Rattus norvegicus: one gene and its partner. Each later gene encodes a partner of the first gene's protein in a complex. Links are inferred from orthologs where the notes say so. Each region holds a gene or a part of one and is shown on either strand. Other genes may lie near its edges.

Evidence for each region.
Region 2: the proteins of Flt1 (region 1) and Vegfa are in contact, whole or in part, in a crystal structure (PDB 5T89), measured with the Homo sapiens proteins. The link is inferred for Rattus norvegicus from reciprocal best matches to the Homo sapiens genes FLT1 and VEGFA. Residues at the interface, in NP_002010.2 of Homo sapiens: Ile142, Pro143, Ile145, His147, Leu221, His223, Gln225, Asn227, Asn259, Thr260, Arg261, Val262, Gln263, Met264, Ser277, Val278, Arg279, Arg280, Phe292, Tyr293, Ser315, Pro317; in NP_003367.4 of Homo sapiens: Phe242, Pro246, Asp247, Ile249, Glu250, Tyr251, Ile252, Lys254, Met287, Ile289, Lys290, Pro291, His292, Gln295, Ile297.

Annotation. Positions count from the first base shown.
Region 1 is NC_086030.1:12,499,935-12,505,129, reverse strand, and holds the end of Flt1 (vascular endothelial growth factor receptor 1 isoform 1 precursor), read right to left. Parts: coding exon 5,184-5,195; intron 3,178-5,183; coding exon 2,982-3,177; 3' UTR 380-2,981; downstream 1-379. UniProt on the Homo sapiens protein: Tyrosine-protein kinase that acts as a cell-surface receptor for VEGFA, VEGFB and PGF, and plays an essential role in the development of embryonic vasculature, the regulation of angiogenesis, cell survival, cell migration, macrophage function, chemotaxis, and cancer cell invasion.
Region 2 is NC_086027.1:22,451,568-22,456,862, forward strand, and holds the start of Vegfa (vascular endothelial growth factor A), read left to right. Parts: upstream 1-1,286; 5' UTR 1,287-1,763; coding exon 1,764-2,366; intron 2,367-5,256; coding exon 5,257-5,295.

The sequences.
Region 1 (5,195 bases):
CGTCCCCTCCACCCCCCCAGCCTTTCTCTAGTCGATCACAAGTCCCTTTAAAGTAGGTATAATTTCCTTCTGTTGCTTCTGCTCCTGGAGAATCCCATAGCATTGACTTCTACGAATTTGCGTTTCACGGGCCATGTGCAGGGTGCAGCATCTCGAGGCCTAGGCAGCCAGTGTGGGACTAGTGGGGCGTTGCACGCCCTTGCTCCCACAGTGCTTGCTGTAGTCTTCCTCGAGCCATACTTGATAATTGGTATTTAATAAGCCGCCCCAGGATTCAGTCCCCCACCTACCCAGAGGCACACCTAAGACTTCCTCCCACCCCTTTGACCCCACTTACCAAAAAAACTTAAAAACAAAACAAACAAACAAAAAAACCAACTTGGTTTTGAAAGTTAATTTTATTAAATGAAGATAATATATGAAATACATTCATCATGACTAGAAAGGTGTGGCCAGATCATGTCTCAGGTCTGTAGCAAATAATCTTGACTCATATAAAAGTAACTTCAAAATTCCAGTTTCTTTAAATAGTTATGCACAAAACATACAGATACACACATACACGTACAGTTCCTACCACTGTGGGTCAGAGGTGCCCTCTCCCTTCACTGAGCTGCCCCCCCCCCCTTCACTGCTCGAAGACCTGTGCAACGGGGTTCGACCAGATCTGTCTCCTAAGGATCCGCCTCGGGCTAGCTTAGACTTGCCTGAGGCTTCAGCTCCCTAGTCACACAGGGCGAGTCCCAAACACTAGGAGAAATGTTCGCTCTTCCTTAGTTCCAACTGCTTGGCCTTGAATGGCAAAGGGTTTTAATGTCACTGTCAAGACTCTTACCATCCAATGCTGGCTTTGGTGAACAGGCACAGTGCACCTAGGTATGGCTGTCTTTATAGATTTCCATTTTTCTTCCTACCTTAAAAACTCAGGAGGAACCATTTTCTTTCTTCCTTTCTTTCCTTTTTTCTGGCTAATCAACTTCCATAGGCTCCAAAGCTGTCCTTAAACAGAACCAGAGAATCCCAATAGGCTTTCTTTACTTTTGTGGAAAAGGGACATTTACTAAAGCATCTTAATGATTAAGAATTAGATGATTAAAATTGGAATAATACAGGACTGGCTATCCCCCTCTAATTGCTGGATATTTGGCTGAGAAATCACAGGATGCTGGCTATAGCATCCGTTTCTCTGGTAGACTCTGTCTAATCCCTGATTTACACACCGCAGTGGACAAGAGCTTTTCTAATTGAACAAAGATTTCTTTGCCCGGCCCTACCTGATTTCTTTATCTCCAGTGTGGCTGGGGAAGCCCTTTCTTTCGTGTCTAATCCTGGCCACCGTGGGTTGCAGACCACCTTGATGGGGCTTGCGCTGAGTCTCCAGTCTCATCAGACAAAGAACCTCAAGGATGTGGTACACTGGGAAGCAGGCTCACGTGCTACCGTTCAGGGCAGAGAGCTTAGCGTCAAGCGTGGTCCGCTCTCCCGAAGCAGCTATTCATCGTCTGCCCAGCCGCGAGGCTCCAGCAGGTGCACACGACCTAAACACTCAGACCACCCCACCCCTCAATTTGCACACACAGCTTCTAAGAGCCATTTTAGAGACCCAGGGCTCACAATCTCTAGACTCCAAAGAGAGGGCACCCTTTTCTACCCTGTCTTCCCTTTTCTACCCTGTCCTCATCATTGTTAGACCCCAGGCAAGGTCCGAAACAGATGAAAAGATTTTTTTTTCCTTTTGATGGCTCACTGACTAACCTGAGTCGCAGCTGTAGAGAGAGCCGTAGAGAACACCGCCTGTTCTGTCGAGGAGCATAAAGTGCTTACCAAACATGGGCTGATGCTATTCTGCTCCTCTCAGACTGCCTTGAGAAGGGGAAACACACGATGAAGTAAAAGGCGGTGAGGTGCCAACTTCAGGTGTGTGGTTTGGCGATTATACATGGAGCACCCACTCTGTCTTACCAGGTCTTAGCCCATCGAGCCGGGTCTGGGTACAGAGAAAACCCTTTTCTAGACCATTACTCTTAAGTCACCCCGGCTTCCCTGGATAGCTAACTATATAAAGCAAGGTAATGCAAAAGTGTCTTGTCTGTATATTAATACTTGAAATGAAGCCTGTTTAAAAGGTGACTTTTGAGCCCATTGGTAGGCAACCTTACTAGGCCAAACTGGACCACTTAACCCCGTGTGAGCAGTATGCTAAGGTCAGGACTCCAAGCTTGGGTCTGACCTCAGTGCATCTCGCTAGAGAAACTGATGGTGGGTATGGCCGCAGAGCCAAGCGCCACCCTCACTGACACATACTAAACGTGCTTTGGATGGCGAACAGAGACAGAAGACTCCCGGGAAAAGATTTAAGATTTACTGTGGTTCCCGAGAACATGTGCCCCCTGGTCTGGGAAACACCCCACACGTTCTGCTCTGTAACCTCTTGGAAGGGGGCCTGAAAAAGCAGAGGCCAGAAGTGACAAGTCACTGAAGTAGCAGAGCAGAGCCCTCTCCTGCACCGGCTCCACAGGATGCAGCCCACGGCCTTTTCCTGTGCCTCTCTCGTTTGCTGTTCTCCCTTTCCTCAGAAAGGGACCCAGAGCACGCTGCCCTGAGCTAATGACTTACTGGGTCTGGTCCCACAGCTGCAGGGAGGGTGGGTGGGGCCATGGCCAGCGTGGGCGGGGCGGCACCAGCACCTTCCTGTCCAAGTTACCCTGAGGCTTTGGGGGGTTGAAGCAGGTGAGCCGAGCCGTTGGGACTTAGAAAGGATTTCTCTAACGTGGAGTCACAGGAGGATTGAACAATAGTGTTTTCCTCACGTGGCTCTATCTGGGGGTTACATTCTTGTTAGTCAAAACAGCGACAACAAACAAAACAAAAAGCACGATTAAAAGTCACGAGAAGCAGCTGGCTCCCGAGGAGCGGAATAGGTGTAAACTCATATATGTATAATACTGTCAGAGGCTGTTGTCTGGGGCTTGTGAGAAGCACTAAGCAGGCGGGGAGGAGTACAACACCACGGAGTTGTAGTCTGGGGGCGGAGAGCAGCAGGATTCCTTCCCCAGCTCAGGGTCGTCTTCATCCTCCTGGCGCACAGGCCTGATGTGGCCACAGCTGGAAAAGCAGAAGCTGGGTCCGGGCAGATCGGAAAGCCCCGCCTCCTTGCTTTTACTAGTAATTCTCAGGCTAAAGAGAAAGAGAAACAATCAATCGATCTAACGTCTTACAGGTATTTTCCGGGATAGGCCTAATGCCTACTTAAATGGGTCACCTGTCCTTACCTGTCCTAGAATCTCATCTGTCTCTAGTTCCACGTTCTTTGTTCGAAACATACATGCTACTTTGGTGCCACTGGGTGGAACGAGTGGCTAGGAGTGGAGCGTTGGACGAGATGGGATTCTCACTGGAAACAAGACTTGGGAACAGCCCTGTCCTGTTAGCTCCTGGGATCAGCTAAATTGGGGGATAGGGACTGCCTGCCCTTCCCCCAATATCAGGTCAAATCCTGGGAACCTGCCACCCACTCTACAATTAAACTGAGGCTTAAAGAGGAGGAGTTCGTTCTGAATTAGCCAGGTGGAGTCCAGTGCAGTGTGCACACAAATGGTGGTCCTAACCAACCAGAGCGAAGGCTTGAGGACAGCCCCAACTGAGGAAGGCATGATGCTGTGGGAGGAGACCCTTCCCACAAAGCCCCCAAAGGGCGTGCGTCACTGCCAACACCTTGACTTTAGCTTCTGGCCTCTAGAAATAAATCCCTCCTTCAGTCACAGTCTGTGGCTAATGGTCTCAAGAAATACGGACTGTACACACAGTCATCGTAGGTGTTTCCTGAGCTCATCGTGGTCTAGGAGTCTGTTATACTCGGGTACAATATATTACAGGAGCCCAAGATGGACATGGGAGGGAGAAAGGCATCTGCACCCTGGAATGTTGGGTTGGAATTACTGTTTGGTGAGAGCTAGGATGGACAGAACTCATGAGCCACAGGAGGTAGACCGGCCTGGACTGGCCTGGCTATGATCGTTAATCTTTAATTGCAGGGTAGAAGATATAAATTAGGGTTTGCACCCTTTTCCTCCCACATGATCCTCAATAAGAAACAAAAGACCGGCCAGCCTACTCTTTCCTTTGCACACACTGAGGTCCATTACTCTGTGACTTTGACACCAGGGCCTTCTTTTGAGACTTCATCACAGGGAAAGGGCAAATATCTGCCTGGGAGTGCCCGTCTTTCCAGTGGCCTGGTGGACTGTGCAAATCCCATCACTGGAGGGGTTTGTAGGAGTTCAGTTGAGGCTCAGTCAACTACAGCACCGGGACTGGCAGCCTGGTGTTCTGTTATGCGCGTGGGTGTCGTGCTCCCCTGTATCTATGTGTCCCACACGTGTGCCTGGTGCCTGCAGACTCCAGAAGAGGGTGTCAGATGCCCTGGAACTAGAGCTAACAGTTGGCTGCTGGCCACCACGTGGGTGCTGGGAGTCAAATGGGGTCCTCGGCAAGAGCAGTCAGTGCTGCTCTTTGCCACAGCTGAGAGCCAGGCATTCGAGCCAGGAAAGGTAGGTGGGTAGGAAGGTAAGTGGCCAGGCTTGGGTAGCCTTCAGCATAGAGAACCACTGAGGTCATCTCTACCAGTCCACTCTACAGCCCGGGCCTGGTGATTCCGAAATGACCCAGAATGGAAGGAAGAACTGCCCAATGGATCAAGCCCCAGGGGATTGTGGGAACATCTACAAGTGAGATGCGGGTAATGGGTTCAGCAGGATGCAGAAAACCCTTATTGTAGAAGTTTGAATTCTCAAGGTTACAAACAGGACTGTGCTTCCTTGTGTAGACCCTGCTAGCCCAGGGACCAGAAATGGGAAGTGTTGTCTCGTGAGTCTGTGAACACGTCCCAACCCTTCCTCCACAGCTGGACACATCTGGCTCCTTTCCACCAAGGTCCCATATTTCTCAGGCTCAGCCTGCCTGTTATAAGAAGCCCCAGTCTTCCTTGTCACAGAACCTGGGGTTCATATGTCTTAATTTTATGACCCCTTTCTTGTCCCTCTGGGGGGGTGGTTGCTTTTCTACCATGCCCAAACACCAGGAGGCCAAGTAGCCTTAAACATCTCACTCACAAGCCCTCTTTCCTGGCATCCTCCACCCCAACTCCCACCCTTCCCCTCCCCCTCTCACACCCCCTTTCTTACTCTATTTTCATT
Region 2 (5,295 bases), on another chromosome or scaffold:
CAGGCTAAGTGTACAAGCATAGAGAAATGGCCAAGGGTCCTAGGTAGAATGGGAGGGGGCAGAGTACAACCCTGAACTCTGTTTAGAAGATGAACTGTGAGCCTAGGCTAGAACTGAGGGAGCCTTACCTCTACTCCCATCCTACCCGGAGTTGGTGGCAGCGCTGGGCAGCTGGCCTAACTACGTTTCTGAATGCTAGGGTAGGTTTGAATCACCACGCAGGCCTGGCCTGCTTCTGCCCCCATTGGCACACTGGCCTTAGTTCCCTGGCAACATCTGGGTGTTTGTGTGTGGGGGGTGTGATCAGGAGGAACAAGGGCTTCTGTCTGCCCAGCTGTCTCTCCCTCAGGGCTCTGCCAGACTCCACAGTGCATACGTGGGCTTCCACAGGTCGTCTCCCTCCGGGCCACTGACTAACTGCTCGGCTTCCCGTTCTCAGTGTCACACATTTGATGCCATATCCTCTCCAGAGAAGCCTCTCTGGAAACTTCCCAGGGAATCCCATTCACCCCAGGGCCCTAGTTCCTTATGTATGAAGATCAGACAAGAGCTCAGATAAGCATACTTGCCTTCCACGTAGCCCCCCGCCCCATATATAATCCTAGAGTTTCTGTTTCCGAGGTCAAACAAGCAACTGTTGGGGGGTGGGTGTTAGAAACACGCAACTATTTGGGAAGTCAAAGCCTGCGGTGCTCAACAGTCAACTCTCACCCCCTGTCCAAGACCCGTGCCATTTGAGCCAGAGTTGGGGTGTGCATAATGTAGTCACTAGGGGGCGCTCGGCCATCACGGGGAGATCGTGAACTTGGGCGAGCCGAGTCTGCGTGAGGAAGGACGCGTGTGTCAATGTGAGTGCGTGCGTGCATGTGCGTGTGTGTCTGGGTATAGTGTGTTTGTGAGGTAGGGGAGAAGACCAGGGGTCACTCCGGGTGTCCGTCTCCCCATACGTCCTTGCCAGCTCTCCGCCTCCCCCCCCCCCCACTTTCTCCTACATTCCTGGGAAAGGAAATTGCCCTCACTCTCCTGTCTCCCCTGATTCCCAACACCCTGGGATTCCCAGTGTGTCCCCGAGCCAAGTTTGAAGGGGTGGACAGATAATTCTCAGGCTATGGACCCTGGTAAGGGGTTTAGATTTCTATTTCGCAGTAGTGGCCTAGGGGCTTCTGAAAGGCGGTGCCTGGTTCGGCCTGGCCTCGCCCCCGGGGCGGGCCTGGGGCGGGGCCTTTGGGGGCGGGGCCAGATTTCCTTTTTTTTCCACCGCTGTTACCGGTGAGAAGCGCAGAGGCTTGGGGCAGCCGAGCTGCAGCGAGGCCGCGGCGCTGGGGGCGAGCTGAGCGGCGGCAGCGGAGCTCTGTCGCGAGACGCAGCGACAAGGCAGACTATTCAACGGACTCATCAGCCAGGGAGTCTGTGCTCTGGGATTTGATATTCAAACCTCTTTTTTTTTTCTTAAACTGTATTGTTTTACGCTTTAATTTATTTTTGCTTCCTATTCCCCTCTTAAATCGTGCCAACGGTTTGGAGAGGTTGCTCCTTCACTCCCTCAAATTACTTCGGATTTTGGAAATCAGCAGAGGAAAGAGGTAGCAGGAGCTCCAGAGAGAAGTCAAGGAAGAGAGAGAGAGAGAGAGACCGGTCAGAGAGCGCGCTGGCGAGCGAACAGAGAGAGGGACAGGGGCAAAGTGACTGACCTGCTTTTGGGGGTGACCGCCAGAGCGCGGCGTGAGCCCTCCCCCTTGGGATCTTTCATCGGACCAGTCGCGCTGACGGACAGACAGACAGACACCGCCCCCAGCCCCAGCGCCCACCTCCTCGCCGGCGGGCAGCCGACGGTGGACGCGGCGGCGAGCCGCGAGCAGGAGCCGAAGCCCGCGCCCGGAGGCGGGGTGGAGGGGGTCGGGGCTCGCGGGATTGCACGGAAACTTTTCGTCCAACTTCTGGGCTCTTCTCTCTCCGGAGTAGCCGTGGTCTGCGCCGCAGGAGGCAAACCGATCGGAGCTGGGAGAAGTGCTAGCTCGGGCCTGGAGAAGCCGGGGCCCGAGAAGAGAGGGGAGAAAGAGAAGGAAGAGGAGAGGGGGCCGCAGTGGGCGCTCGGCTCTCGGGAGCCGGGCTCATGGACGGGTGAGGCGGCGGTGTGCGCAGACAGTGCTCCAGCCGCGCGCGCGCCCCAGGCCCCGGCCCGGGCCTCGGTTCCAGAAGGGAGAGGAGCCCGCCAAGGCGCGCAAGAGAGCGGGCTGCCTCGCAGTCCGAGCCGGAGAGGGAGCGCGAGCCGCGCCGGCCCCGGACGGGCCTCTGAAACCATGAACTTTCTGCTCTCTTGGGTGCACTGGACCCTGGCTTTACTGCTGTACCTCCACCATGCCAAGGTAAGCGGTCGTGCCCGCCTGGTGTCGCCGGGCCATGGCGAGCGCCTCTCCCGCTTGGGGACGTGCGTGCGTGCGAGCGCGCGCGTGGGGGGCTTCGTGCCCCACGCGGGTCCTTGGGCACCGGGCGCGAGGCGTCCCCCTCTGTCGTCGTACGTGGAGGGGGAGGGGGTGCGCGCTAGGTGGGAGGGCGCCAGGATAGTCTCGCCGCCCACGCGGGCCCTGCCCACCCACCAGAGTCACCGCACGTACGATCTGGGCCGAGCAGCGGAGGGCGGGAGCCAGAGGAGGAGGCTGAGGGGGCTGGGCTTGCGCCCGAGCTGGCGGCAGAAGTTTGCTCTGGGTCGCGGGTCCCGGGAGAACTGGAAGTCCGGGCAGAGGGGGCGGGAGTCCGGAGCCCAGCGGGCATGCCTGGGGGTGCTCGGACCTTGGACCGGGGGAGGGCAGAGATCGTGGAGGGGGCAGGGCGCCGGCGACCGAGGGGGCTTTGCTGTCACTGCCATTCGGTCTCTTCGGCCTTTGCAGTGAGTTTGGGGAAAGTTTTAGGATGGATTACTGCGGGGACCCTCTCCCACCCCTCTAGCTTGTTGGGCCACCTGCGCCGCGCCACCCCCTCCCGTCCCCGCTCGCGTCCCGCGCGGTGCCCGCCCTCCCCCGCCTGGCCGGGCGCGCGCGGCGCAGAGCCGATTACATCAGCCCGGGCCTGGCCGGCCTCGTGTTCCCGGAGCCGCGGCTGCTGGAGCCCGGAGACCCGGGCGACAAGCGGCGCCCCTCCCCCACCGGCCCTCCGCGAGGAAGGTGACCTCTGGAGGTATCCCCAGCTCCGGGACCGGGAGAAACTCCCATACCCCTTTCCTCCGTTCCCAACTTCTACCCGTGCCTTGCTCTAGGCAGAATTACCCGACGCCCCTTCCCCCTTTCCCCCATTTCCTGCCTGGTGTGCAGAAAAGCCCTTCCCACCCTTTTATATTTTCCTTTTCCTTGCGAAGACTCATCGGACCCTTCCTGGCCCCAGGGCCCAGGAAAAGGACGGTGACTGTCAGACGTGGGGGTGTTGGGGCCCACCCTCGGGTTCTTTGTGGAAACGCTGACCTAAGTTTTGAGTTGGTGAAGGTGTGCTTCCCTCTCCTCCTAGCAGCTCCAGTTAGCTGTGTTTCACCTTTTTTTTGGGGGGGGGGCGGTCAACGAAGGGTGGACTGACATCACCCTATTTCCCCCGTTTTGGAAACATGACTTGATATTTGCTAAGACAGGGGCAGCCTGGAACCAGCCCTTTCCTACTCCTTTGACAGGATCCCTTGTCAGTATCTCACACACACTTTGTCCTGGCAAAGCCTGATGCCCAGAGAGCAGGTGGTTTAACTCTGAACTTACCCACCCAATTTGCCTACTAAAGGGTCCTTTGATGCTCGTTTCCTCTAATTCTCAGCTATAGAGCCTTCTTGGAAAGGAGGCAGAAGGAAGGAGAAGGGCAGGTGTCCCTGCCACCATCCAGAGGTCCCCAGACCCTGGCACAAAGGCCTTGGTTCTGGGCCTTCATGTGGGGAGGAGGGCAGGAGTGCTTGGCCACAGTGTGACCTTCAGAGGCCCCCAGAGAAGGACACCTGGCCAGTCCCTGCCTAGAACCTCCCCATCTGGGAAGGGGTTCAAAGTTTCTGTTTCCTTTCTCCACTGGGGTCTAGACAGAGGAGGAAGGAGAATGTCATGAGGCTATTGAGGGGGTATTTGAGGGCCTGATGAAGTGCAGAATCCAGGACCAACCTGGGGCAGCTGCAGTGGGAGGCTATGTCTTGAGAAGGGCCACCTCTGACCTTGGCCCTGGTGGCAAGGCTGAGGGCCCTGGATGGATTGCTCTTAGGAAAAAGAGACAGAGACAGACCAAGGGTGGGAGTCTGTCCCTCTGGGGCAGTTGGAGGTCCAGGTTGGTGTGAAGCAGGTGGATGGGGAGTTGTAGCAACAGGAGACCCTCAGGAAGGCCAGGAGCCTTGGCTTGCTTGCCACGTCAGGGCCACAGGGCCTTCTTGGTGACCTTCAGAGGTTCTGGGGAGGGGAGAGAGGAACTGGTGGGGATGAGGAAGGTTGGAGGGCTCAGGGTGGGGCAAAGGACCCCCTGGCAGAACTGAGGAGAAAGCTTCCCTGGGTACATTTAAGCAAAGTGCCCTGCCCAGGTGAGAGGCTCCGGGATGTGGGAGTGGGAGGCTAGCCAGGCTTTGGAAGCTGCAATCGGGACCTGGGCAGACCTGGGACCTGGGGTGGGAGGAGAATGGGACTCTCCCTTCCTTAGGAGCTTCCTCCCAGCTTTTCACCCCTTGAGCAACCTGTGGGTATGCTGACTATTCCCCAGGCCTGGGAAGAGTTCAGATGGGGGAGGGTAGTTGGTGCCCTTCTGTCCTCTGCATCTCTCTTCGACTCGAGCTAACCCTGGTATTTGTCATGTCAGCAGGAGAAGGTCACCACGTTGTTTTTCTCGCCCCCAGTCTTTCCTTCCTGCCCCAGTCCAAATTTGTCCTATTTGACCTTAATGCTTACCCATGGCTTGGGACCAGGGAATCGAGGGCAATGGGAAAAGGGACAGGACAAGAACAGGACGGGGCTGGGGGCCTGGGTCAAGCAGGATTCTGGTATTTTCCTCCTACATTGTGAGCTCCCTCACACCTGGTTAGTCTTTAACTTTCACGGGCTCAGAATTGAAGCCATCCGGAGTAGTGGGTATGCTCTGGGCCCACAGGACCCCTACTGTTCCCCGTGTGACTCAGAAGACTTGGGGAGGGTGGGAGCTGGGGGTTGGGAGAGGAGGCAAAAAGAAATCTAGGGATTCAGTGGTGTCAGGCCTGGGACTCCTGTGGCTGGCCCTGTCCCTGACAACGCTCTTTACTCTTTGTTTTGTCCTCAGTGGTCCCAGGCTGCACCCACGACAGAAGGGGAGCAGAAA